Linked DNA regions of Macaca mulatta. The protein of the gene in region 1 interacts with the protein of each later gene in a pairwise test. Links are inferred from orthologs where the notes say so. Each region holds a gene or a part of one and is shown on either strand. Other genes may lie near its edges.

Region 1 (9,056 bases):
ACCTGAAGCTCAGCTGCACAATCTCCTGCCTTTTACAATGCTCCCCCCTCTGCTGTGAGTCCAGGAATAATAGACTTGATGTGACCTGCAAGAGCCCGCTCAATAATCCCCAACAACCAAAACAGAGCAATTACGGCTTAATTTAAAACCAGTGTCTCTTTTATTTTACCAAACAGACAGACCTTGATGTCTGGCGGAACTTTATCTTCTTGAAATTTGACCCAGGTGTTTATAGATCTCACTCTCAAAATTCTATGCAACGCTGCCACATTCTACCCAGCTGCAGCCGGGTCACACAGCACCCTCAACTGCCAAAAACGTGATCCAGGATCCCAGAAGGAAGCCAAAACACAAAACCCGACAATCCCAAGGAGTCGGGACAGAGCTCACTATGTGTGGGCATGAAAATTCCTGCACCCTTTCCCGGATAATCCTCTCAGAGCCTATGGACTCTGACTTTATACTAAAGGGTATCTAATTTCCAAGCCCAGACCAGATAAGCAGATAAAACCTAACAGCAGGGGAGCGAAGGCAGGGGGAAAAGAGAAAACCTGAAATCGGCCCGAGTAGAGTGCAAGCTGGGAAAATAAGAACGCACAGTTCTCCTTAACAGCCCAAGGCCACTTGTAGAAGGAAGCTCAAGGGAACAATCATTTTGTGAAAGCCAAACACGGAAACAACAGAACTGAGAAGACAGCTCTGTAACCCACACTATGGGATATCACGCAACAGAGAGTTCGATCTTTCCATCCTAACATAAAAAACATCTAAGACACCCCTGAGTAACAAAGACAGATATTTACAGTATATGTTATACACAAGGAAACAAAATGATACTGGGTGTTTCCTAGAGATCTCTCTGGATATGCAGGACACAGAAAAATACAAAATGATGATGATGATAATAATGGCAACCTCCTGGGAGAACAGAGGGCTGCGAGGTTTCCATTCTTTCTTTCCTTTTTGTTTTTTTGAGACAGGGTCTGACTGTTGCCCAGGCTGGAGCGTAGTGCAATCATGACTCACTGCAACCTCTGCCTACTTGGCTCAAGTGATCCTTCCACCTCAGCCTCCCAAGGAGCTGGGACTTCAGGTGCATACCACCACCCTGTTAATTTTTGTATTTTTTATACAGACAGGGTTTCACCATGTTGGTCAAGCCAGTTTTGAACTCCTAGGTTCAAGCGATCCTCCCACCTCGGCTTCCCAAAGTGCTGGGATTACAGGCATGAGCCACCACACCTGGACCATTATTTCTTTTAAACATGGAGAATTTATTACAAATGTAAGTTCAAGTATATGGAAAGAAGTTCCAGCAATCTCAGAAGAGAGGCAAGCCAAAGATTCCAGGAATACAACTGCACCAACATGATCATTTGTGGAATAATCATCTCGATCACTAACAGAAAAGGCTAAATTACAAGTCTGATTGCAAACAAACTTCAGAAATGGTTCTTTCCCACAGGGTAGAAAACTCTTAATACTAAAAAGGAACACTTCAGCCATTCAAAGGACGGATCTTTCTAAATCATTGTTTTCCAAAGTGAGATTCTTCAGATCCTGCAGTACTAAAACAACAAAAACCAAAACAAAAACACGCCCTGAAGCTCCCTGAAAAAGGACAGCAGGATCTGTATAGAAACAAACTCCCATTTTCTTTTAAAGAAGGAAAAAAGAAGGCAAGCCAGCCCACAAAGTACAGTGGCAATGGCTGCCCCGGGGCTCAATGCAGATTTCACTGTACCAACTCCACGAAGAACAGACCCCAGTGACAAGCACACAGATTACACAGCAGCACGAAACAATCTGCAAGCTTCCTACCAGCTCGCCCTTGCAATCTGGAAAGAGCTGCTGGTGGGGAGGGAAAGTGTGAAAACAATGTATTCCCCAGAGTAACAGGGGTTGTCGGCAGGGGGTGGCTCGGACCTCATGGCAAGGAAAGGTATTAAGAGTTAGGTACCAACTGGCCAGCACGGTGGCTCATGCCTGTAATCCCAGCACTTTGGGAAGCTGAGGTTGGTGGATCACGAGGTCAGGAGTTCGAGACCAGCCTGACCAACGTCGTGAAACCCCGTCTTTACTAAAAATACAAAAATTAGCCAGGCCTGGTGGCACATGCCTGTAATCCTAGCTACTTGGGAGGCTGAGACACGAGAATCACTTGAACCCAGGAGGCAGAGGTTGCAGGAGCCGAGATCACACCATTGCACTCCAGCCTGGGCAACAGAGTGAGACTTTGTCTCAAAAAAATAAATTAAAATAAATTAAAAAAAAAAAAAAACAGTTAGGTACCAAGCATGAAGCAAATCAACCAACCCAAAAATGCAGGACTCCTCAAAGGTACAGAGATAACTTAGGGGTTGGGGGTGAAGTCTCTTCCAGCTGGGATCTCAGGGAGCCCTGCCATCAGGGCATGCGGAGGCCTCCTGATAATCGCTTCCCTCATAGCTTCGGTGACTGACAGGCCCTCTGGGAGTGGTTGTGGCCGCTTTCTGCCATAGGCTCTGGGCCAGCTTGAAGCCTTTACCACTTGCAAATTATCTGAAGAGTTGGGGTAATACTGCCTTCGAGTGCATTCCAAAACCTCGAGCCTGTGTTCAGAACAAGACCTAGCATCCTAAATGCAGGGTTTCCTAAATGTCGCACACTGGGTTCATGTGCTCAGCTGTTTTAGAAAGCAGGTAGGATGTGTCACCATGATGACCAACGAGGGGACTTCCCAGTTTGCAGACTAGGCTGTGGACATGGAAACAAACTTAATGGAAACATGTGCTTGTGTCCTGTCCTTTTTTTTTTTTTTTTTTTTTTTTTTTTTGAGACGGAGTCTCGCTCTGTCACCCAGGCTGGAGTGCAGTGGCCGGATCTCAGCTCACTGCAAGCTCCGCCTCCCGGGTTCACGCCATTCTCCTGCCTCAGCCTCCCGAGTAGCTGGGACTACAGGCGCCTGCCACCTCGCCCGGCTAAGTTTTTGTATTTTTAGTAGAGACGGGGTTTCACTGTGTTAGCCAGGATGGTCTCGATCTCCTGACCTCATGATCCGCCCGTCTCGGCCTCCCAAAGTGCTGGGATTACAGGCTTGAGCCACCGCGCCCGGCCCTGTTCTTTTTTTTAATTTTTTTTCCTGAGACGGAGTTTTGCTCGTTACCCAGACTGGAGTGCAGTGGCGCGATCTCAGGTCACCGCAACCTCTGCCTCCTGGGTTCAAGCGATTCTCCTGCCTCAGCCTCCAGCGTAGCTGGGATTTCAGGCACACACCACCACACCCAGCTACTTTTTTGTATTTTTAGTAGAGACAGGGTTTCTCTATGTTGGTCAGCCTGGTCTCGAACTTCCGACCTCAGGTGATCCACCCACCTCGGCCTCCCTAAGTGCTGGGATTACAGGTGTGAGCCACCGTGCCCGGCCATGTGTCCTGTTCTTGCTAAACGGCTGCAACACACCACAGGACGAAATTCTGCAAAGCGGCAGCAGCCTGGAAGAAATTAAAGTGATCGAATGTACACTACAGGATGGCCAATGGGGAATGACTTCAACTCTGATTTTGGGAGACTGTGTGGTGCCTTAGGTAGAAGTTGAAATGTGTACATCCCAGTCTGTCACATTTAGCATCTTAGAAAAGGGTACTAGGCTTAGTACCTGAGTGATGAAATAATCTGTACAACAAACCCCCATGACAAGAGTTTACCTATATAACAAACCAGCACACACAAAAAAAGAAGACCGGGGCAGTGGCTTATGCCTGTAATCCCAGTACTTTGGGAGGCCAAGGCGAGCGGATCACTTGAGGTCAGAAGTTTGAGACCAGCCTGGCCAACGTGGTGAAACCTGTTCTCTACTCAAAAAAATACAAAAATTAGCCAGGCATGGTGGTGGGCACCTGTAATCCCAGCTACTCAGAGGCTAAGGCAGGAAAATCTCTCGAACCCAGAAGGTGGAGGTTGCAGTAAGCTGACATCATGCCACTGCACTCCAGCCTGGGCGACAGGGTGAGACCATGTCTAAAAAAAAAAAAAAAATTTGCTCCATTTTTTAATCAACATTTCATGAACCTAAAGAGGAAGTCATTTTTTCCTTTTGCCTCTTCTCAAGTGAAAGACAAGAAATGATGTCGTTCGGAAAAATAAATGGTCCCGGCCAAGCCTGTGATCCCAGCATTTTGGGAGGCCAAGGCCTCCCCTCACCTGAGGTCAGGAGTTCAAGACCAGCCTGGCCATCATGGCAAAACTCCATCTCTACTAAAAATACAAAAATTAGCTGAGCCTGGTGGCGGGTGCCTCTAATCCCAGCTACTTGAGAGGCTGAGGCAGAATTGCTTGAACCCAGGAGGCGGAGGTTGCAGTGAGCTTAGATGGCGCCACTGCACTCCAGCCTGGGTGACAAAGCAAGACTGTCTCAAAAAAAAAAAAAAAAAAAAAAGAGGCCGGGCGCGGTGGCTCAAGCCTGTAATCCCAGCACTTTGGGAGGCCGAGACAGGCGGATCACGAGGTCAGGAGATCGAGACCATCCTGGCTAACACGGTGAAACCCCGTCTCTACTAAAAATACAAAAAAAAAACTAGTCGGGCGCGGTGGCGGGCGCCTGTAGTCCCAGCTACTCGGGAGGCTGAGGCAGGAGAATAGCGTAAACCCGGGAGGCGGAGCTTGCAGTGAGCTGAGATCCGGCCACTGCACTCCAGTCTGGGCGACAGAGCGAGACTCCGTCTCAAAAAAAAAAAAAAAAAAAAAAAAAGAAAGAAAGAAAAAGAAATTGTTCCTTAGAGCTCAAAATCCCAAAAGCGAACAAGGTTGGTGGTTTATAGTCCAGGTGGTCTACTGTACCTGCTTACAAGTAGAGATTAAATGACCCATCTCAGGATCTACTCTCTTATAAAGAACCAGCATGAACAAACAAAAGTGCTACAAAACCAAAAACAAAAAAAAGGCACTGTCTCTTCTGGTTCTACATACTTAAGATAAAAAGTAAAAATATATAAACCAAAAAAAGACACCATTAAACACAGCATGGAACTTGTGACTGATTTTATCAGTTTGGTCCATAAGATCCTAAGGACACCATCGTGCTAATAAAAAAACAGTAACAGAGACAGTCCATGCAAAAGTCCCTCTTATGGGGTCCTTAAAAATGGTTCCAGATGGGGTCTCACTCTGTCATCCAGGCTGGAGCACAGTGGTGTGATCACAGCTCACTGCAGCCTCCACCTCCTCAGCTCAAGTGATCCTCCTGCCTCGGCTTCCCAGGTGGCTGGGACTACAGGCATGTGCCACCATGCCCGGATAATTAAAAAAAATTTTTTTGCAGGGCTGGGTGCAGTGGCTCATGCCTGTAATTCCAGCACTTTGGGAGGCCAAGATGGGCAGATCACTTGAGGTCAGGAATTCAAGACTAGCCTGGCAAAGATAGTGAAACCCTGTCTCCACTAAAAATATAAAAATTAGCCAGGTGTGGTAGCGCACACCTATAATCCCAGCTATTAGGGAGGCTGAGGCAGGAGAATCACTTGAACCTGGGAGGCGGAGGTTGCAGTGAGCAGAGATCACGCCACTGAACTCCAGAGGCTGGGTGATAGAGTGGCTCTGTCAAAAAAATAAAAATAATTTTTTTTTTTTGTAGAGATGGTGTCTTTGTTGTCCAGGTTGGTTTTGATCTTCAAGCGATCCTCCCACCTCGGCCTCCCAAAGTGCTGGGATGACAGCCATGAGCCACTGCGCCTGGCCCCAGGTGAGGTTTTTTAGATGGGTGGCTGTGCTGACTCTACAGAATTCCCCATGTCATGCTTCCTGCCGTCTCACTGCCACTTCAGTGCTCAATGCCTCCATAGCCCCGTCCCTACAGTTCTATGCTTGGATGGGAGGGGCACAGAGAGAGCTGGACCTGGAATCTCAAGTGAGGGGTTACAGCACCAGCTCAGATCCTAATTCCCTAAAATGGCTAAGCTATCACTAATTAGATGTAAACAACGAAGCAAAACAGCAGGGTGTTATCCACACAGTACACCAGGTACACTGTTGATGAATTAAGTCCCAGGCGCATCACAACGAATGCAGAACCGAACACTGAGTTTTGATACAAGAACTCCGTGTCGAGTCCCAGGACCCAGCCTGTGGCCCCGCTCACTCTGCCACAGACCAGCTGGGTGACCCGGTGGAGACTGACAGCGTGCTCTGAGATCCATGAGCACTGATGTGTAGGGACTCCATGGGAGATACTCACTCTGCGCACGGGCGTGGAGGTGGGGAAGGGACTGGTGCTGCTGTGTCGCTTTGTGGGAGCAGGCGGCCCCTCGGGAGAGCTGGTGGAAGAGGGAGAGCTCAGGGACGAATGGCTGAGTACAGAGTCTTCTTCAGGGCAAGATTCCAGCGCCCCGCTCTCAGGGGTCATGTCCTTGCCTTGGGGTGTGGCTGGAGGGGACTTGGTTTGGGGCGGTCTCACAGCCAAGATGTCCTGCAAGACCACCATGGGCACCTTCCCTCTGAACAGGATGCCCCCAGCTTCACTCCAACTGTCCTGCTCCTTTCTGGAGCACAGTCTCAGACCACTCGTCAGCTCCGGGCAGCTCTGTGGTGAACATTCCTGGGAGTCACCTCTCCTCCCTGCACCTCCACAGCCAACACCCTCCTCCTCTGTTTTGTAAGGAATGTTTGAAAGGGTCTCTCCAGGAAATGCCAACTTGTCGTTCTGATTGGCCTTCAACGACCCCTGCTGATCCCTAGTGTCTTCTCGGTTGCCATTTACTGCTTCCCTGGAGGGAGAAGCTTCAGAACTCAGTTTATTGTGGTCCACAAGACTGTCTGGCTGCTCATTTGAGTCCTCTGTCAAATCAATGATGACTGTGCTCTGGCCAACACTGGTTTCGACTCTGTTTCCTAAAAAGTTATCTAAGGGACCCTTCCCGTTGACAAGTTTTGGTCTAAAGTCTATGTCAGAACCCACAGGACAGTCGTTTTCCAAGGTGTCCAAAGAGGCCTCCAAATCGGGGCTTTTACTCTGCACAGAAGTAACCTGATCATCTGACATGTCATCGTCTTTCCCCTTTGGGACAAGATTCAGGCGCTTAAACGGCAGACGGGCTGAAACAAAGAGAAAGCCATCTTTAGTGAACGTTTAAAGTTACAACCACTCATGAGCTTGAAAATTATTGACTTGTTGGGACACAGGCGTGGGGGATAATTTTAAAGTTTAAAAAGGGTCTATCTGGGTGGTGGCTCACACCTGTAATCCCAGCACTTTGGGAGGCCAAGGCAGGTAGGTCACAAGGTCAGGAGTTCGAGACCAGACAGACCAAAACGGTGAAACCCCGTCTCTACTAAAAATACAAAATAGCTGGGTGTAGTGGTACGTGCCTGTAATCCCAGCTACTTGAGAAGCTGAGGCAGGAGAACAGCTTGAACCCAGGTGCTGGGATTACAGGCGTGAGTCACCATGCCCCACTTCAACATCCTAATTTAAAAAAAACCAAAATCCTGGCCGGGTACGGTGGCTCAAGCCTGTAATCCCAGCACTTTGGGGGGCCGAGACAGGTGGATCACGAGGTCAGGAGATCAAGACCATCCTGGCTAACACGGTGAAACCCCGTCTCTACTAAAAAATACAAAAACTAGCCGGGCGAGGTGGTGGGCACCTATAGTCCCAACTACTCAGGAGGCTGAGGCAGGAGAATGGTGTAAACCCAGGAGGCGGAGCTTGCAGTGAGCTGAGATCTGGCCACTGCACTCCAGCCTGGGCGACAGAGCGAGACTCCGTCTCAAAAAAAAACAAAAACAAAATCCTGACAAGTCTTTTAGCAGAGCTACTGCCAGAATTTCAACAGACATTTTTTGATTTCAGATCCAGTTCATATTCCAAATTTATTTATAATGGGTGAAAATCTCATTTGATGATAACTGCATCTGGTTCTCAAGTAGAAAATACACAGACATATTTGTGGACAGGGTTTTTTGTTTTGTTTTGTTTTTTTCCTGGCCTCAGCACCCCAGGCTCTGTTAGGCTTTTCTCATCAATCAGACTGTTCTCCCAGAGCCTGCCAGGATTCGGGCTCGTTAGGAGGGACGCAGAAACACTTTAGAGAGTGAACATCCCAAGGAACCTATGTTCACTTACTTCCATGCCAATTCATCTTTTTATTAACTATTTCATCATGTAATAGACCAAATAAAAACCTGTTTTTTTTTTTGGGGGGGGGGTTGTTTGTTTTGAGACAGTCTCACTCTGTCACCAGGCTGGAGTGTAATGGTACACCCTTGGCTCACTGCAACCTCTTCCTCCCGGGTTCAAGCAATTCTCTTGCCTCGGCCTCCCAAGTAGCTGGGACTACAGGTGTCCCCCACCATGCCCAGCTATTTTGTATTTTAATAGAGATGGGGTTTCACCATTGGTCTCAAACTCCTGAGCTCAATCTGCCCACCTTAGCCTCCCAAAGTGCTAGAATTATAGGTGTGAGCCACCGTGTCTGGCTTCTCCCTTTTTTTCTTTTAAAAGACAGAGTCGGCCGGGCGCGGTGACTCAAGCCTGTAATCCCAGCACTTTGGGAGGCCGAGACGGGCGGATTACGAGGTCAGGAGATCGAGACTATTCTGGCTAACACGGTGAAACCCCGTCTCTACTAAAAATACAAAAACTTAGCCGGGCGAGGTGGCAGGCGCCTGTAGTCCCAGCTACTCGGGAGGCTGAGGCAGGAGAATGGCGTGAACCCGGGAGGCGGAGCTTGCAGTGAGCTGAGATCCGGCCACTGCACTCCAGCCTGGGTGACAGAGTGAGACTCCGTCTCAAAAAAAAAAAAAAAAAAAAAAAAAAGAGACAGAGTCTTCCTGTGATCCAGGCTGAAGTACAGTGGTGTGATTATAGCTCACTGCAGCCTTGAACTTCCGGGCTCAAGCAATCCTCCCATCCCAGCCACTCAAATAGCTGGTTTTACAGGTATGCACCCACTGCACCCAGCCCAAGTTTGAAAAACCCAAAACTGTAGTTTCTAAAAATACAATCTGGGCTGGGCACGGTGGCTCACATCTGTAATCCTAGCACTTTGAAAGGCCAAGGCAGGGGCATCACAAGGTCAGGAG
Region 2 (9,056 bases), on another chromosome or scaffold:
ACGGGAGAAGTCAGGACAGCTGTGCCTGGTGTCCACTCGTCCTGGGTATCCGCCTTCTCTTGCTTCACCTGGGGTAAGGCCACAACCCAACTCAGGCCAGAGCACTGGGCCTCCTGCGTGAGGGAGGATTGCAGCAGACTTGGTCTCAGCTCCCTGGCATGAGGCTGGGTGGGGCTGGGAAGGGAAGGACAGGGTGGGGCCCTCACCTGCAACAGGGCTTCTGTGGAAGCTGCAACAGGGCCTGGCACCTGCACAGGACTGCTTGCGCCCTCCCGTAAAAACACAAGGTCAGTGCCAGGCGGAGGCAGCACAAAGCCACCACCTGCTTCCTGCTTCGTTGGAGCCTGGGTATGGTCTGGTTGGGCTGTGCGTGTAGCCAAGGTGGGCTTCAAGGTAGGCCCAAGATGGTGACGTCGGGCAGAGCTGGGCCTCTTTCGACGATGGTAAGGTGGGGGCGATCCTGCCCCATCCTCAGACTCTGACCAGACACTGGGCAGCAGCCGCTTCTATGAGGAAAGATAGGGTGCTATGGCTACCTGGTGTCCTGACCAGTCACATCCACCCTGCCCGGCTCCACATGCCTGCTAATCTCCCATCGGTCCCAGCATGGAATCTGCTTACGTATGAGCCCTTCGTCATTGAGCCTGCTAGTCTCCTATTAGCAACACCAATGCCACCTAGACTCATTAAGCCAAGCACAATGTCTGTTAATCCTCAACCAAAGCTACTGCGCCACCCACCCACCTACCAAGCCTGCCCACCACTCCCAGGCACTGGGGCGCCTGGCCCAACCTATCCCGGCCACCTGACCCTTCCTGCCCCACCCACCATGGCAAACTGCAGGCATTGGCGCCAACGACACTTCTGGCGCTTCTGGTTGCTGCCCCCGAATTTGGGCTTGTCGCAGCAGAAGTCGCAGCGGCCACAGTCCATCCGCCGTAGGCAGGCTGCACAGGCCCCGCACTTGCGGTTCTGCCGGCGGTTCGTGTAGGGCTGCTGGGGTGGGGGGAATGGGTGGTGCTGTCAACTAGGACTAGGAGAGGCCATCCTCAACGCCTATTCCAGTGCTGGTCCTGGTGCTCCTCTAGCCCCATAAGAAGGAGCTACTTGCATACTAGTCTCAGCCTCCTGACTCCCAGCTAGTCACTCCTCAGCATTTGCTAGTTCAACATTGGCCACTATCGCTGTGCCAGCTGGCCCTCGATACCATTAGGACTGTGGCTGCTCCACTACAATATCCAGTGCTGTATTTCCTAGGCCACCAATGGCTACCAAGAAAATGTCTCTAACCCCCATTTCCAGCAACATTTTGATAACTCTCTATTAGCTCCCATCACTGTGCCTACTCTGTCTGCTCATCCTGTGTGAACCCCAGTCATTGTGCTAGCTGCTCCTCTGTCAATCCCATCACTGTGTCGATTAGTCCTGCATCAGCCACCAGAGTGTTGATACATGTGACATGAGGCACTGTCATTGCACCTGCTGACCCTGTATTAGTCCTCCATTATCTACTCATCCCATCCTAGGACCCATTATTGTGCCTTGCTGTTCCCCAATAGGCTCATTCCAGCATCTGCTTCTTTGAAGTTAACCAAGCGTCCTGAGAGTCTAGGCTTATCCAGGTAGGGTAGGGCCACTCACTAGCTCGTCCTCGTCTACACAGTAATAGATGAATTCGGCAGGTGGCGAGGGGGCCAGGGCTCTGGGGTGCTGTAGAGGCAAATGGGGTGGGGTCAGGGCAGGTACTGGGTAAGGTCAGGGTTGTGCCTTCCCTCCACCCACTGGGGCCTCACCGGCTCTGTGGGCTCTGGGGACTGTGATGGGGAAGGTGGAGGCAGTGGCTGGGCTCCGGGGCGCCTCCTGGCAGCCATCTTGGAGTCACAGCCTCCCTTGCGGCGGGCATGTTTACCCTGGGAAAGACCAGAAAGGGTGGTTTCAGCTTGGTGGCACCAGGCAGACACAGGAACTCCCCACTCCCTAAGTGCAGAAAGCATGCATGGGACAGGCAGACAGAGGGTGGCATGAGGCACTCACAGTTGGGGGAGCCACAGCCAGGGGAGTGCGTCGCTGACATCTCTGATGACGGCGACGCAGGCGGTGAGCAAGGTGCTGGCAGACAGGGGCAGGCAGGCGGGGCCAGAAAGGTGAGCGTGGGGTTAGGCAGAAAAGAAAGACATAAGGTAGGCAAGGCCAGGTTGAAAGGAAGCAGAGGCAGCGACGATTTTAACAGCAGAGTGAGCTCTGCTCCCTCCAGCCCGACTCACCCGTAGGCAACGTCGCTGGACACATTTCCACTGGCGCCTGAGACCAGGGCGGGGAGGGCGAAGGCAGATGGGACAACGGCCACAGTCCTCTTGGGTCTGACAGCCCCGGCATACTCCACACCCTCGGCTCTGTTGGAGGGGATGTGGGAGCAGAGGCATGAAGCATGGGGCCAAGCCCACGAGGGCCAGGGGCCGAGGTGAGCCTTGGGCTCTTTCCACTTGCCCGACTCACCCTTTCCACAATCCGGAGGCAGCGTCTCCGTTCACACTTGCAGAACAGCCCCGATGCCACATCATGGGGCAGCTGCAGGAGGCACGTGGAGCAGGCCCCACAGTCTTCTGTTACCTGGCAGGCTGCACACTCCCCACAGCCCACACGCTGCCAGGAATGGTAGGGACGAGATCACGGGCCTGCTCCAGAAGCACTGGTCCTCCCATGTCTACTGACCCTACATCAGCTCCCATCACCGGGACTTCTAGTCGCCCGTAAGCCTCATCACTGAGGCCATTAGTATGTCTACTGGTCCCTTGCTAACTTCATCACTGTGTCTACTGATGCACTAATGGTAACGGGAATTAATTAACCCATTGATTCCCATTACTGTGTTTGCTGACCTATGGAGAGCACCCTATAAAATGACTTCATCCTGTGGACCTATCATCATCCCTTAGGACTCTACCAGCTCAATCACATCCTGCTCCCACTGCAGAGGTGTGAAGAGAAAGCAGGTTGTGCTTACCTTAAACATTCTCTGTTCTCGGTTGAAGGCAATTCTCTGTGCTGTGGGGAGGAAGAGGGAAGAAGAAAAGTGGAAAGAAAGCAACAGACATCTGACTGATTCACTCACTGCCTGTGCCCTGACTTCCACTATTCAACCTCTACCCATGCCTGCTATCTCCAGTATCCAACCTCCAACCATGCCAGTAGCCTCTGTCCTGACATCTACATTCAACCCCCAGCCTAGCATGACACTGAACCTGCTCTAGCTCCTATCTCCCGATGCCCCATCCTCTGGGGGTCACTCACCTCGACAGTCTTTGCACAATGTTTTGAGCCGCTGCCTTTGGGTGCCATCCCCTGAGAAGCTGATTCCACAGTTCTCACAGCATCTGGGATGGGAAAGGCAGGTGAGGGGCTCCAAGAGCACCCCCAATCACAACCCTCACCCATCTGGCTCACCTCAAACCAACACTCACCCAGGAGCAGGGAATGAAGCTGGGGCTGTGTCAGTGTCAGCCTTGGTCTCGTCCCTTGGGGCCTCCTTCCTGACCTCACCACTCTGGGGTCCAACCTGACGTTTCCGAGTCTTGGCTGGCTTTGAAGGCTTCTTTCGCTTCTTGCTGGCAACAGCCACAGGATGGGCCTGGAAAGTAAGGAAAGGAGGCATATGGGTCAGTGGGTGGGTGCTGAGTGGCACAGCCACCCCTACCTAGGCATCTCACATTGTAAAGTACCTTGGGGGCTGGATAGCACAAGATGCCTTGTTTGAAGTCGAAGAGGGTGAGATCACACGCAGGGCCCAGGTATCGAGTCAGCTCAACTTTGCTTCGGATCCTGTCTCCTGTGGGGCTAGGGATGGGCCATGATGGGTTAGCACCCAAGTGGAGCCAATGTCATTTCACCCACACAACCTTCCGACAGGGCTGGCAGGATACAGGAGGCAGCCTGGAATTGGCCTGTGAGCCCTGCCCAGCCCCACCTCAACTAACCTTGAAAACATAAAAAATTAATATAAATACCAACACAAATACAAACATCAGAAACAATACAAATGTAAACAGACAAATATATTTATAACATATAATACTAGTAATACTGGAACTATTTCACATAAGTAAAAATAGACACAAATAGAAACACAAATATATTAAATAACATATAAATATGTTAGCACTGGCCAGGTGCGATGGCTCACACTTGTAATCCCAGCACCTTGGGAGGCCAAGGCGGGCGGATCACGAGGTCAGGAGATCAAGACCATCCTGGCTAACATGGTGAAACCCCATCTCTACTAAAAATACAAAAAAAAATTAGCCACGCATGGCGGCGAGTGCCTGTAGTCCCAGCTACTCGGGAGGCTGAGGCAGGAGAATGGCTTGAACCCGGGAGGCGGAGTTTGCAGTAAGCCGAGATTGCACCACTGTACTCCAGCCTGGGCGACAGAGCGAGACTCTATCTCAAAATATAAATAAATAAATAAATAAGTTAGCATTATGTACCCAGTATATAATCAAGCAAAGAAAACAACACAAATATGTTTTAAAAACACACAAACAAATACAACTACACACAAATTAAAGTATAAGTAATTGATTTTGGGACCCCTGGTTTCTTGCATTTCTGTACGCCCTGCAAGAGAGACACCGATTATTCTTTTTGATAAACTATCTTTCCAAGGATGTTTGTAAAGCAAACAACCTTGGAAGATAAGAGATAGGGTCTCCTTCCATAGTAAAAGGAAAGCATACTTAGTGTCCTAACGTTATTAAAAAAACTTGATTCTCTAAGCTCAGGGTTCTTTTCCTATAATAATACAACCCTCTTCATGTCATGCTGTAGGAATTGGGATTCAGGAAACTGGCACAAAAATAGTAATACAGTAATTCCCCCTCTCGTCAGGGTATACATCCCAAGTTCCCCAGTGGATGCCTGAAACCGTGGATAGTACCAAACCCTAATGTAATATGTACTGTGTTTTTTTCTACCTGATAACTGAGATGGTTACTAAGCGACTAACAGGCAGGTTGTGTATAGAACATGGATATGGATATGGATATGGATATGGACAAAGAGATGATTCACCTCCTGAGCAGGACTGAGCAGGATGGTGTGAGATTTCATCACGCCACTCAAAACGGCACACAATTCAAAACTAATGAATTGTTTATTTCTAAAATTTTCCATTTAATATTTTTGGATGGTGGTTGACTGTAGGTAACTAAAGCTGTGGAAAATGAAATTGCAGATAAGGGGGAGACTTATTCTGGATCCTGCAACTGTTATAATAAACTGTCTTTGACCTGTAACCCAGGAGTCTTACCTCTCCTACCAACATCTACAAAATTCTGACAAATTCACTATTATCTTGTCCTAAGAATGAAATCTCAGATCCTTCGTAGTTCCTGACAACTGCACTTTTAAGTTTTGAAAGTTTTATACGAGTACATAAATATGTGAATAAATTATAACTAAATACAAACAAAAAGTAATTTGTAATTTGATATTTACCTGGAAAACTGCAACTTAGATTTAAAAAATCAGAACGAATATAGAAACATAATAATTAATGTAGCCTAAACACATGTAAATGCTTATAAACATCTATGCTGATTCTCATTAGTTATGGTAGGTATGTTCTACAAAGTTGCCATGAACACTGAATACAAAACCATTGCTCCTAGAGGAAATACAGGGTTAGGTTCCTGAGAGCATCTGAACTTCTGTTTTGTGCGTGTTTCTGTTTAAATACACATTACTTAATATATATTTTTTACAAATGATTATTTGCATGGTCTTTGAATGACTCAAACCAGGGGCTTTGGAGGCCATATGTGTTCTGTAGGTTTGTTTGCTAATATTTTTGTTTAACAAGCCAATCCCATTGGCATTGAAAACCACTCTTCTACACAACCCCTTTCCTATAAAACACTTAAAAGGTATTTTTAAAATTCTTCGGAAGACTCCTGATCGGGAGAACCTGCATTGCATGCAAGTTTAACATTTTTCATGCCATGTTGCCTTTTGAAATGTGCAAGTCAGCCAGCACTAGCTGATACAACCTTAATATTTTCCTAACCCAGGGTAACGTGACTTTGGCTTTCCTCAACAATGCTGTCCACTATGCTTTATTGATCGTCATTTCATGAATCCACCAACGTAGCTGCTTTCTCATCTCTTCCATAGCTTCAAGACTATAAATGCTTTCTGTATTTTCTGAAGCAGCCTTGTGCACATATTGGCAAATTTCCTTCTTTTTCTGGTTGTACCATAATTCTGATGCATAACATTGAACTTACAGCCAACAGCATTGTAACTCAGATAACCAACAAGGTTTATCTGCCTTGTATTTTCTCCGTAAGGCACGACATGGCCTTCTCACACTCAGAACACTAAACAGCACCTCAGCACTACGCTTGAGGACTATTTTAAAAAGCAAAATCACCAACAAAACATACAAAAATTAGAAAAATGTGACACTAAACAGACCACGAAAAGGACACTTGTTTACAGTATTAAAGCTGAAATAAAAAGGGCTCCTTCAGTCTCAGCTAGAAACACATGCATTGAGTGACAGTTTTTCACTGCTCTGTGCATGTCCTTCAATAATCACAAATGCACTGTGAGTAGTGACTTTTAAGTTACAAATACTGTATTAAGTAGGTGAAATTGCAAACACAAAATCCGCTAATAACGATTAACTGTGCATAATTTAAACTCCATCCATAAATTTAACCGCACTATTTGATTTTACCCTAATGAGGCTCTACCCCACCCCCACTCTGCCCACAACCCACCCAGTACCTCTGGTAATAGGTGTCTGAGCGTCCACAGGTGGCCCCTGACTTGCGAAAGACTTCACGGCGCTTCCAGCCAGGGCCCAGGGCCGGGCAGTCCAGCCAGTCCTCAGCCATGGAGGCCACAGAAAGCAGCAGTAGCCTGAAAGGGGGTTGAGGGGATGAGGGAAACTGAGGCTCTAGGAAGGGACAAAATGTGCCCCAGGCCACACAAATCACTGGTATCCATTAGTGCTTGCCCAAGACCTAGGACCTGCCGCAGGCAACCAGCCCATATATGGAGAAGAAACCCCTCATATTCTCACCCCATTCTTTCCTATTCTGGGCCTAGGAGATCCTCATTCCTCAACCCAAGGATCCCTGTTTATTATTCTTAGTGTCCTAATCCCCTACTCCTCTCTATCCTCAGACTGACAGCCCATCATTTCTCCTCACTGCCAATCCAGAAACTTTTCATCTTCCCCCCTCATTCCTCCCTGTCACTGACCTAAGGGCCTCTATCCCTCTATTTTATCACCACAAGACCCCCATACTTCCCATCCTCAGCCCCAAAGGGCCCCATTTCTCTTGCCCTCACTACTTGGCTTCAGTAGTCTCTCATTCCCCCCTTCCCCGACCCAGGAGTTCCTAATTTCCTTCCTTCAGTGTTTTAACCATTCCATTCCGTCTCTGCCTGATGTCCTCTTATCTTGCTACCTCAGTGTTACAACCTCGACTTCCTCTGCGAGACACAACTGCTCCAACCCATGACCCGAACAGCCCCTCATCTTTTCCATTTCTCACACACTGGAAGCCTCCCATGCCTCCCCTTCCTCAGCCAAGAGCTCCCCCCTTATTTTTCTTCTCCTTCAATGTTCTGGCCCACAATTTCTCCCCAGTCTCAGCCCCCAAACCTTCCTGTTTCTCTCCTCTACATCCAAAAAGTTCCCCACTTCTCCCTCTCACTGTTCTCATTCTCCATTCCTCCCTTATCCTGAGAGACCCTAATTTCTCCCCTCAGCATTCCGAACCCTCCCCCATTCTCTGTTCTTGTCCTGGGATCATGCCATCCCTAACTGTCAGCGTTCTGATCCCCTACTGCTCCTCGTCCTCTATATGGGGCCTCCCATTCCTCCCTTTCAGCATTCCAACGCCTCCATTTCTCCTGTCATCAGCCTGAGGGCCCCTCATTTCTCCCGCTCGGAGTTCTGAACCCCCATTTCTCTCTCAACTTCAGATGCCCTGATGTCTCCCTTTAGCGTTCTGATCTCCACCATTCCTCTCCGTCCTCGTCCCAGGATCCCGACACTCCTACCTGTCAGAGTTCTGAGCTCCATTCCTTCCTGTCCTCAGCCTAAATTCCCCCGTTTCTCCTCGTCAGTATTCCGACGCCGCCATTCCTCCCCCTCATCGGCCTGAGGGCCCTTGATTCCTCCCCGTCAGCGTTCTCAGCCACAATTCCTTCCTATCCTCCGCCTGAGCACTCTCCACGTCCAGCCCCAAGGCTGTCTCACCAGTTTGGCACCAGGCTGGTATCTTCCGCCACTCTAGGCCCGTGGACCCATGGCGAGGGTCCCTCCTGCGCCTCCCGCCTCGCCCTCCTCCCCTTCTTCCTCCTCCGCGGCCGCCTCCTCTGAAGCGGTAGCTGTCGCCTCCGCGGCTGTTCGTTGCTCCCGGAACCGGAAGTCCGCTGCCTTCCTCTCGGGCTCCGCCTCTGGCTAAGCACCTGCGCGCTATTGCCTCGACGTCGCGTGCCCTTAATAGGGAGGGTCCCGCGCCTGCGGGCTGGCGCTCTGCAGCGGGGCGCGCGCCACCCTGCCGAAAACCAGTTGCATCTGCGTGCTGACGTTCAACGACAGCTCGTGCCCCATCGAAGGAGGGACCTGCAGTCGGGGCTGTGCTCGCTGACCATCTAGCTTGCGCATGCGCTCTCCAGTCTCAAACTGAAGGGAAGTCGTCGGGGAGGGCTTGCGCCTGCGCCCTCCCTTCCCTCCCGCGGTCTCCGAGGCGGATACCCACAGCGGCGAGGAAGCTGCTTCGGGCCTGCGCACTCCCTGACCCAGCCGGCGCTCTCTTCTCCCATCTCTCGCTGGGGTCTATCTTGTGCTCGCCGGTCCCTCCGAACATTAGCCCCAGGGCGGTCGTGTCCCGCTCCCTCCTCCCCGCCGAACAGGTGCTGGAGCGCGCGGGGCGGGGAAAGGGGCGGTGACGCACCGCAGGTAAACTGAGGCACGCGGGAGGGCGCGCCCCTGCAGGAGGCGAATCCCCAACGTGGGGCTTGTTGGGAAAAGGCGGGGC

What was found.
Region 2: the proteins of CHAF1A (region 1) and MBD1 interact in binary tests that used the Homo sapiens proteins (3 or more experiments, as listed by UniProt). The link is inferred for Macaca mulatta from reciprocal best matches to the Homo sapiens genes CHAF1A and MBD1.

Annotation. Positions count from the first base shown.
Region 1 is NC_133424.1:5,238,776-5,247,831, reverse strand, and holds part of CHAF1A (chromatin assembly factor 1 subunit A), read right to left. Parts: intron 7,068-9,056; coding exon 6,211-7,067; intron 1-6,210. UniProt on the Homo sapiens protein: Acts as a component of the histone chaperone complex chromatin assembly factor 1 (CAF-1), which assembles histone octamers onto DNA during replication and repair.
Region 2 is NC_133423.1:42,023,520-42,032,575, reverse strand, and holds the start of MBD1 (methyl-CpG-binding domain protein 1), read right to left. Parts: upstream 8,434-9,056; 5' UTR 8,273-8,433; intron 6,922-8,272; 5' UTR 6,897-6,921; coding exon 6,787-6,896; intron 3,835-6,786; coding exon 3,720-3,834; intron 3,629-3,719; coding exon 3,462-3,628; intron 3,375-3,461; coding exon 3,292-3,374; intron 3,046-3,291; coding exon 3,005-3,045; intron 2,644-3,004; coding exon 2,497-2,643; intron 2,394-2,496; coding exon 2,265-2,393; intron 1,911-2,264; coding exon 1,794-1,910; intron 1,711-1,793; coding exon 1,642-1,710; intron 997-1,641; coding exon 829-996; intron 507-828; coding exon 207-506; intron 114-206; coding exon 1-113. UniProt on the Homo sapiens protein: Transcriptional repressor that binds CpG islands in promoters where the DNA is methylated at position 5 of cytosine within CpG dinucleotides. Binding is abolished by the presence of 7-mG that is produced by DNA damage by methylmethanesulfonate (MMS).